Linked DNA regions of Macaca mulatta. The protein of the gene in region 1 interacts with the protein of each later gene in a pairwise test. Links are inferred from orthologs where the notes say so. Each region holds a gene or a part of one and is shown in the gene's direction. Other genes may lie near its edges.

What was found.
Region 2: the proteins of DNAJA3 (region 1) and TCF19 interact in a two-hybrid assay, tested with the Homo sapiens proteins (2 studies listed by BioGRID and IntAct). The two-hybrid records come from large-scale screens. The link is inferred for Macaca mulatta from reciprocal best matches to the Homo sapiens genes DNAJA3 and TCF19.

Annotation. Positions count from the first base shown.
Region 1 is NC_133425.1:5,699,478-5,704,005, forward strand, and holds part of DNAJA3 (dnaJ homolog subfamily A member 3, mitochondrial), read left to right. Parts: intron 1-746; exon of another isoform or gene 747-1,020; coding exon 1,021-1,136; intron 1,137-3,012; coding exon 3,013-3,110; exon of another isoform or gene 3,111-4,253; intron 4,254-4,528. UniProt on the Homo sapiens protein: Modulates apoptotic signal transduction or effector structures within the mitochondrial matrix. Affect cytochrome C release from the mitochondria and caspase 3 activation, but not caspase 8 activation.
Region 2 is NC_133409.1:151,906,950-151,912,048, reverse strand, and holds the start of TCF19 (transcription factor 19), read left to right. Parts: upstream 1-2,061; 5' UTR 2,062-2,091; intron 2,092-2,801; coding exon of another isoform or gene 2,802-3,015; intron 3,016-3,093; coding exon of another isoform or gene 3,094-3,160; exon of another isoform or gene 3,161-3,226; intron 3,227-3,435; exon of another isoform or gene 3,436-3,462; coding exon of another isoform or gene 3,463-3,678; exon of another isoform or gene 3,679-4,224; intron 4,225-4,246; exon of another isoform or gene 4,247-4,471; intron 4,472-4,552; exon of another isoform or gene 4,553-5,017; 5' UTR 5,018-5,099. Other genes in the region: CCHCR1 (coiled-coil alpha-helical rod protein 1), read right to left, coding at 866-1,169, 2,802-3,015, 3,094-3,160, 3,463-3,678. UniProt on the Homo sapiens protein: Potential transcription factor that may play a role in the regulation of genes involved in cell cycle G1/S transition. May bind to regulatory elements of genes, including the promoter of the transcription factor FOXO1.

The DNA of each region.
Region 1 (4,528 bases):
TTTTTTTTTTTTTTTTTTGAGACAGCAGGATGTTGCTCTGTCACCTGGCTGGAGTGCAATGGCATGATCTTTGCTCACGACAGTCTCTGCCTCCCAGGTTCAAGCGATTCCCGTCTCAGCCTCCTGAGTAGCTGGGACTACAGGCACGTGCCACCATGCCTAGCTAATTTTTTGTGTTTTATTGGAGATGGGGTTTTACCATGTTGGCCAGGATGGTCTCGATCTCCTGACCTCGTGATCCGCCCGCCTTGGCTCCCCAGAGTGCTGGGATTACAGGCGTGAGCCACTGTGCCTGGCCTTTTTTTCCCCCCCAAGATAGAGTCTTGCCCTGTCACTGAGAGCTGGAGTACAGTGGCAGTCTCGGCTCACTGCAACCTCCGCCTCCCGGGTTCAAGCAATTCTCCTGCCTCAGCCTCCCGAGTAGCTGAGATTATAGGTGCACGCTACCATGCCCGGCTGATTTTTGTATTTTTAGTAGAGACGGGGTTTCACCGTGTTGACCAGGCAGGTCTTAAACTCCTGACCTTGTGATCAACCCGTCTCAACTTCCCAAAGTGATGGGATTACAGGCGTGAGCCAGTGGTGGTTCTTTTCAACGAATTCCTGTCAAGATTGTCTTCATGCAGTGAAAACTTTTTATTTGAGCAACTGGGGACCAGGGGAAACCACAGATTTTCTTTCTTTTTTTTTTTTTTTTTTTTTTTTTTTTTTTTTTTTTTGAGACGGAGTCTCGCTCTGTCGCCCAGGCTGGAGTGCAGTGGCCGGATCTCAGCTCACTGCAAGCTCCGCCTCCCGGGTTCACGCCATTCTCCTGCCTCAGCCTCCCGAGTAGCTGGGACTACAGGCGCCCGCCACCTCGCCCGGCTATTTTTTTGTATTTCTTAGTAGAGACGGGGTTTCACCGTGTTAGCCAGGATGGTCTCGATCTCCTGACCTCGTGATCCGCCCATCTCGGCCTCCCAAAGTGCTGGGATTACAGGCTTGAGCCACCGCGCCCGGCCAGATTTTCTTTCTTTATAGATCCCCCCTGGGACTCAGACAGACCAGAAGATTCGGATGGGTGGGAAAGGCATCCCCCGGATTAACAGCTACGGCTACGGAGACCACTACATCCACATCAAGATACGAGTTCCAAAGTAAGTGCCCCCTAGGCCGTGTCTAAGCCAGCCTGCTCCTGCGGTGGCATTGCTCCGGGAGCTCTGTGGCTTGGGCAGGGGACTGCTCCCTATAGGTCAGGTGGTTCCTGCCCGAGTTCTCTGTCTGTAAAGTGGGTGTAATAGAATGGTACACTTCTTTTTTTTTTTTTTTTTTTTGAGATGGAGTCTCGCTGTGTCCCTCAGGCTGGAGTGCAGTGGCGCCATCTCAGCTCACTGCAACCTCCGCTTCCTGGGTTCAAGCAATTCTCCTGCCTCAGCCTCCCGAGTAGCTGGGATTACAGGTGCCCGCCACCACACCCTGCTAATTTTTTGTATTTTTAGTAGAGACGGGGTTTCACCGTGTTAGCCAGGATGGCTTCAATCTCCTGACCTAGTGATCCGCCCACCTCAGCCTCCCAGAGTGTTGGGATTACAGGCGTGAGCCACCGCGCCCGGCCGGTATGGTCGACTTCTTGGAGTTGCTGGGAGAATTAAATGAACAACACATAGGAATTGCTTCGCTGCTGCTGCTATTGTTGAGTTTCTTCTTTTTTTTTTCTTTTTTTTTTTTTTTTTTTGAGACGGAGTCTCACTCTGTAGCCCAGGCTGGAGTGCAGTGGCGCGATCTTGGCTCACTGCAAGCTCCGACTCCCAGGTTCACGCCATTCTCCTGCCTCAGCCTCTGGGACTGTAGGTGCCTGCCACCACGCCTGGCTAATGTTTGTATTTTTAGTAGAGACGGGGTTTCTCTATGTTGTTCAGGCCGGTCTTGAACTCCTGACCTCTTGATCCACCTGCCTCGGCCTCCCAAAGTGCTGGGATTACAGGTATGAGCCACCGTGCCCGACCTTTTTTTGAGGAGTCTCTCGCTCTGTTGCCCAGGCTGGAGTGTGGTGTGCCATCTCAGCTCATTGCAACCTCCTCCTCCCTGGTTCAAGTGATTCTCATGCCTCAGCCTCCCGAGTTGCTGGGACTACAGGTGCCTACCACCACGCCCAGATAATTTTTATATTTTTAGTAGAGATGGAGTTTCACTGGCCAGGCTGGTCTCGAACTCCTGATCTCAGGTGATCTGCCCACCTTGTCCTCCCAAAGTGCTGGGATTACAGGTATGAGCCAGCATGCCTGGCCCGTTGATTTTCTCATTGATGTTACTGGCACTGTTAGGAGCTGGAGAGGCAGCCTGGGCGGAGTGCTGTGAGTACCTAGGGCAGGACATGCCTGACTCCCCTCGGGAGCACTCGTGCTTTTTGTTAATTAGATAATTTCTTTTCTTTTTTTCTTTTTCTTTTTTTTTTTTGAGACAGAGTCCAGCTCTGTCTCCAGGTGGAGTTCAGTGGTGCAATTACGGCTCACTGCAGCCTCCACCTCCCAAGTTCAAGCAATTCTGCCTCAGCCTCCCAAGTAGCTGGGAATACAGGGACGCACTGCCACGCCCAGCTAATTTTTGTAGTAGAGACGGGGTTTCACCTTGTTGACCAGGATGGTCTCTATTTCCTGACCTTGTGATCTGCCCGCCTTGGCCTCCCAAAGTGCTGGGATTACAGGCATGAGCCACCATGCGTGGCGTAATTAGATAATTTCTTACCTGCTTCACACACACACTTGTAAAATCTGTTTCCCCTCCTGTAAACTGTATTTAGCATAGCCACAGCGACACTTGTTTAAACGACTTAGGGTGTTTTATTAGCTTTTCTGTACAGAAGATTTGAGGGCGTGGTCCTTAGGTTCTTACCACTGCACTGCCTCAGGGTTTCTGCCCCTGCCAGGGTTGGGTCCCTCTCCTCCTATGCGCTTCGAGAGCACTGGCTGCCTGTGAGTTCTTTCCAAAGCTTCCTGGCGGAAGCCTTTGCTGCTAACTCTGCTTGATCCACAGGAGGCTAACGAGCCGGCAGCAGAACCTGATCCTGAGCTACGCCGAGGATGAGACAGATGTGGAGGGGACAGTGAATGGCGTCACACTCACCACCTCTGGTAAGGGGTCTGAAGACTACGCGGCGACACGTGGGGACCTCAGAGCCCCCTGGAGTGTGGACAATTCAGGGCAGCATGTTGGGGTTTCCACTTGGGGTTCTTCATGAAGCCTTTAAAATGTGCAGTTGAAAGAGGGGGGCTGTGGGCGGGAACACTGGGCAGGGAGCCGCAGCCCCCAGTCCAAGCTTCGCCTCCTCTCTCTGTGCGTGTTCGTGTGCTGAGGTGAGAGCACCAGGGCACTTCCTGCAGGCAGCTGTGCGTGTCTCAGACCCAGTGTTCTGAGTTCTATCCTTGGTTCTGCCACTTGCCCTGTGACCTCGGACAAATCCTTCCCTGAGACCTCCTGGCAAAAGCGTAAGGAGAGCATGGATTGGAAGGATTTGTGCACTTCCCACCAGGGACACTCCGCTAGGATTTCAGAGTGTCTTACAAACAATAGCAGCCACAGTAGTGGAGCCACAGTCAGAGGACTCAGTTCGCTGTTTTAGAGCAGGACTCACTCCGAATTCATCTAGCCATGAACAGATGCACCATTTACCCTGACCTCAGACATTGTGCTAGTGAGTGGCTGAGTGTCAGCGATCTGTCACCAGAACACCTGCTGTGGGCACTGTGGCAGTGGCACCCCAGCTACAGCCCCTCTTCTTGTGGGAGGTGGGGCCTCTGTTTCCTGGGATTCCTGCTCATGGCAGGGCAGGCTGTGCCCAGGGGGTCCTTGGTTCAGGCTCAACGTATTTCCTCATTGCATCATTTTGGTTTTGTTTGGATCCTGGGTGGAGTTCTCAGAACTTGCGTGGCCTTAAATTAGTGCATGGTAATTCGTAGCAGGTGTTTGGAGCTGGGGGCAGATTTTCCAAAAAAGTGGAGGATTTGGAGTTCCAGGGCCGGGGCAGGGGCTGGGATGGAAGTCCCTGGAATTTCACTGAGCTCTTGTTGCTCCTAGGGTACTGGAAGTCCTCTCTTAAAAAGCAGCTGCTGGCTGGGCGCAGTGGCTCTCGCATGTAATCCCAGCACATTGGGAGGCCGAGGCAGGTGGATCAGTTGAGGTCAGGAGTTTGAGACCAGCCTGGACAACATGGCGATACCCCGTCCCTACTAAAAATGCAAACACGCCGGGCGCGGTGGCTCAAGCCTGTAATCCCAGCACTTTGGGAGGCCGAGACGGGTGGATCACGAGGTCAGGAGATCGAGACCATCCTGGCTAATACGGTGAAACCCCGTCTCTACTAAAAAAATACAAAAAACTAGCCGGGCGAGGTGGCGGGCGCCTGTAGTCCCAGCTACTCGGGAGGCTGAGGCAGGAGAATGGCGGGAACCCGGGAGGCGGAGCTTGCAGTGAGCTGAGATCCGGCCACTGCACTCCAGCCGGGGTGACAGAGCGAGACTCCGTCTCAAAAAAAAAAAAAAAAAAAAATGCA
Region 2 (5,099 bases), on another chromosome or scaffold:
AGTGCAATGGCATAATTTCGGCTCACTGCAACCTCCACCTCCCAGGCTCAAGTGATTCTCCTGCCTCAGCCTCCTGAGTAGCTGGGATTACAGGTGTGCATCACCATGCCTGGTGAATTTTTGTATTTTTAGTAGAGACGGGGTTTCACCATGTTGGCCAGGCTGGTCTTGAACTCCTGACCTTGTGATCCACCTGCTTCGGCCTCCCAAAATGCTGGGATTACAGGCGTGAGCCACTGCACCCGGCCTTATGGTTTCTTTCCTTGACATGTCCAATTGGTTACAGTGGCCTTCCCTGAACCCCAGACTAAGTTAGTGCTCTCTAGTCCTTCGCCTTCAAGGCACTCCTCCTGATTGCAATTAATTATGATTAAATTAAAAGTGGATGTGTGTATCCCCCATGAGGCTGTCAGTTCCATCCATGAAGGCAGGATTCAGGCTAATTTGGTCACTGAGTCTGAGATGGCAAAGAGTAAGCACTGAGTTTGCGGACTGAATAATCTCTCTCTCCCAGTCCACCATAGCCCCCTTATATCCACCTTCCTCACTGCCCTCCACAATACCCCCGATGAATTGGTACCCAGAGTAAAGCAGGGAGGCAAACTACTTCCTACTAGAAAAGGAAGCAGGGCTTCAAGTCGTGGGAGGCCACCTGAGTCTTGGGGAAAAAGTGCAACCTGAATTAAGATCAAAATAACCAAATTCTCCATCTTTCTAGGCCATGTGTGTTTCTTTTCACCAAAGGTCTCATCACTCCACTACTCACTACTCATGGAGAGTCTCTTCTGCAATACCTGTTCTTTGCTTGGAAGCTACTGCCCAGCTCTCCGTTATGAATTTAAATCCTTCCCACCCCTGCATTCACCTGCTCTTGGTGCAGCCTCTGAACCTCTTCCAGCTCGCGCTGGCTCCCCTCTTCCAAGTTCTTCCGGACGACCTCAGCCCCAGCCAAAGCAGCACGCAGGCCCTCAGCCTCAGCTCGGCCGGCCTTCTCTGCCTGTGCCAGGGCCTCCAGCTCCATGGCCTGGGCCTCTAGCCTCATCTTCTGCTGCAGTGAGGTCTCCCGCAGGAGCCGGACCTCCTCCTCCAGCCGCCGCAGTTCTTGCAACTGCCGAGCGATCACCTCAGCCTGCTGGCTCAGGGCCTGTGACCCCTCCAGCTCCCAGGACCTTCAAAGACAGGTTAGTGCAGGTGAGACTTGTCTCCAGTGCTGGAAGGATAGTTGAGGGTGTAAACATAGCCAGAAGGAAAAGAGGACCTCTCTGCCCCCGTGTGAGGAGGTGAAGGGGGTGCTGAAGCTGGGGTATGGGGATGTCTGCATTGACATCATCATCATTCATCAAAGCCCTATTGAGCATGTTAAGTCCAGTGCCTGGACTCACAGGACCTAAAGTCTGGCTGAGATGATGGAACATGATCTCCCTAGAGAGAGCTACATACAGACAGATTCAACATCAAATGTGTATATCATTAGGCCACACATTCTTTTTGTTTTTTGGTGTTTTTTTGTCTTATTTATTTTTTATTTTTAGGCCACACATTTTAAGTGGAAAGGTTGGAAGAACAGAGACTTCTCAATTCTGATTTAAGGGCAAGAAGTTTGAGGGAGGAATGGGCATAGAGAGAGCTGAGCTTCCAGTATCAATATGGTGAGGCCAGGTGCTAGTTAAAATGCATTTATTGAGTGTTAGGTATACTTTATGAGGAGTCTGAGAGAACAGTACATAAATAACATAGTGCCAGCCTTTGGAGACATTGTCTACCAATATCATGTGAAGTTTAATCTAGCTTGGAACGTGGCTCCTGAGGCAGCTGTCTCTCTGACACCCAGGACCACAGGAGATTGTTGTTGTTGTTTTTAGAGACAGGGTATCACTGTGTCACCCAGGCCTCAATGCAGTGGCTGGATCATAGGTCACTGCAGCCTTCAACTCCTGAGCTCAAGTGATCCTACCACCTTAGCCTCCCGAGTAGCTGGGACTACAAATGCATGTCACCACAGCTAGCTAATTATTTTCTGTGGAGACGAAGTCTCGCTTTGTTGCCCGGGCTGGTCTTGAACTCCTGGGCTCAAGTGATTCTCCTGCCTCAGCTCCCAAAGTGCTAGGAGTATAGGTGTGAGCCACCATACCTGGCCTTTTCTTTATTTTCTTTCTTTCTTTAAGTATCAGGGATCTGTAGGCTAGGGAAATTGACTTGCCAAATGTCCTCTAGCTGGTAGCCAAACTAGAAATAGAGTCTCTGTCTCCTGACACCCAGTCTAGTGCTCCTTCTTCTTCATTGTGCTGCTGCTTCTAATGTAATCCTACTCTAGAGCAAAATGGCAGAATGCTATCCCAGTACATCTGGGAAGACACATGAAACAACAAGAATAAGAATGTTTACAGACAATACGACAGCATGGCCAGCTCCCATAGCATGTCCTCTGTAAAGGCTTTCTTCCATCAGAATGAACCCACACTGCCACAGTGCTGGGTCTCTACTTCTAGTTTGCACTTCTTCATCTTGCCTCATACTATGCTTTACCATCAGTTGATGGTCAATCTATCTCCCCTCTTAAGATTTTAGATTCCTTATTAATTACAAATTTAAGTCAGGATTTGTCTTATTCATTATTGTTATCCTCATCCCTAGCACCTAGCACACTGCTTTATTATCTAAGCACTGCAGGAACTAATAATTGCTTGCATAAAAATGAGTAGGTTCTGGAAACTAGGGCCGAAATAGGGTAAGGAGTTTATTCCAGTGAAGAAGGGTCACTAGCAAGCCAGCCTGAGAAAACAGCGAGGATGGATCCCTACCTGCCTCTCCGCCCTGGCTCCTGCCTGTCACTGGAAACATCCTGTTTCCACATGGTCACTTGAGGTCTCTGGGTGTCTAGTCGCCTCTCTGAGACATCTTGATGGCCTGGGGGTTGGACCAGGGGAATGTCTGAGAGCCAGGTGGGAGCCATTCTCGGCAGAGTTGAAAGGGGCCGAGCTTGAAAATGGGAGGGAGGAATCAGCCCAGTGGAACCTGAAGAATTACAAAATCAAAGATGGTCAGTTTCCCAGGCAGAGACAACCACCACTCCCCTTGTCTGGTCCCACTGACCTGAAGGTGGAAACATCTCCACATTATTTGAAGGCTCTAGATTCTGTCTCCAGCCATCTATGTTCCCCTGGACAATAGGAGAAACAAAGACACTCCAATTCAATTTTCAGGCCACCTTCCAAAGAGAAAGCCCCTACAATAACAAAGTCATAATCCTTGAATTACAGCCAGGTCCACCCGATGCTCAGCTCTTTTCCTACTTCCCCAAAGAAGTAGGAGATACCCCAAATTCACTTGCTTGTCTCAACCTGGTTCCTCAGGGAACCCAGGCAACTAACTATCAAGTGGAGAGAATTTACTGAAAAAGACAGACCGAGAGGGGCTCTGAGGCTTTACTCATACTTTCAGGATTCTGGGCAGTGCCTTTACCCTCCTCCTTAAGTTTCTATGGTCCCTGCTGCCCCTGGCCAGAGGTGAGAAAGGAGGTACACAGTGCAGGGGTCTTGAGCGCCATCTCCAGAGTTCTCTCCATGGCTCAGCAAGGCCTGGGGGAATCCCATCCAGACACCACCAGGCCATGACTCTTGGGTCCTTCCCTATTAAAGTGCTGGCCCAAGGCCTGGCCCCAGCTGAATGTGGCCACATGCAGGGCTAGACCCTTCCCAAGACCTTGGGAATCCAAGCAGCCTAGATCCCCAGGCAGAAAAGCCAGCGTCCTGACATCTCATCCAAATCTTTCCTGCGGCTGTCCTCTCAGCTTCTCTCTACTATCCCCTCAGCTTCCATGCCTGCCGCCCGCCTCCTCTTTCTCGAGTCCTAACACATAGTGGGCACTTTAAGACCTTCCCCCCACCCTCCCACCCTCATTAATCTATTTTTTACCCGAATCTGGGATCCCTACTCCGGTCCCTTTTTACATCCTAATCTACTTTTTTCTGAAGGAATTGTTCTGGTCCTCACCCTCACCCCCATCTCTCAATAGTCTGCTCTCGCCCCCTGTACGCTAGCCGGCTCTGCTCTCCCCCCACTGCTCCCCTAGATACCCAAGGCTGTTCACCCAGTTGGCCCCTGAGCTCTAAGGCTGTTCTGATCTCCTCATCTACCCCTTCACCTGGCCCCTGTTCCCCCTTCCCCTTTGGACCCCTTGAACCCTCCCAGCACCCCCGCTCAGCCCCTTCCCGCCCACAACCGACTCTTCCCGAACGTCCCTTACCCACCGCGAGAACCCCTACTGCGCCTTGACCACACCCCCTACGCCTCGCTCCGGGCCCCGCCTCTGCCTCGGCCTCTGACCGCGCCTGCGCAAGGCGGGCGCCCTAAGGTCCTACCTCACTGTAGGGAGGAGGAAAGGTGTACGCAGGCGCAGTGGCGTCTAAATCTGGGCCCACAGAATGTGTCGACGCATCTCCGCGCCCAGGCGGCTCCTCCCCACTGCGGGAACCCGGGAAAACTTGTGAACTAATCAGAAAAAGCGGAAGGCGGGAGATCTTAGGGAGCCGTCCAATGGCGCGGAAGAGAGCAAATGAGCTGGCCAATCAGAAACGGCACGGGGGCGGGCTCGCTCGGCGCGAAGTTCGGGCCCGGGAATTCCGAAGGAGGGGTAGGCGCTGCCCGCGCGCCGAGGCCGCGCCCCTCCTGGCCCCGGCTTCCTGGCTGTCAAACAGCTGCAGCAGTATCGGCTCCAGCCGAGGAGCCCAGGGGGTCCCGGGACCCGCGGCACAGGCTGGCACTGCTTGAAGAGGAGGCTACTCGGAGACTGCACCCCGCTGGTAGATCCGAAACGGGGCTGGGGCCGAGAGGGAAAAGGCCGGGTATGCCTTGCATGATCGCGGGGAGCCCCTTCCTGTTTTTTTTTTTTTTTTTTTTTTTTTTTTTTTTTTTTTGAGACGGAGTCTCGCTCTGCCGCCCAGGCTGGAGTGCAGTGGCCGGATCTCAGCTCACTGCAAGCTCCGCCTCCCGGGTTCACGCCATTCTCCTGCCTCAGCCTCCCGAGTAGTTGGGACTACAGGCGCCCGCCACCTCGCCCGGCTAGTTTTTTGTATTTTTTAGTAGAGACGGGGTTTCAC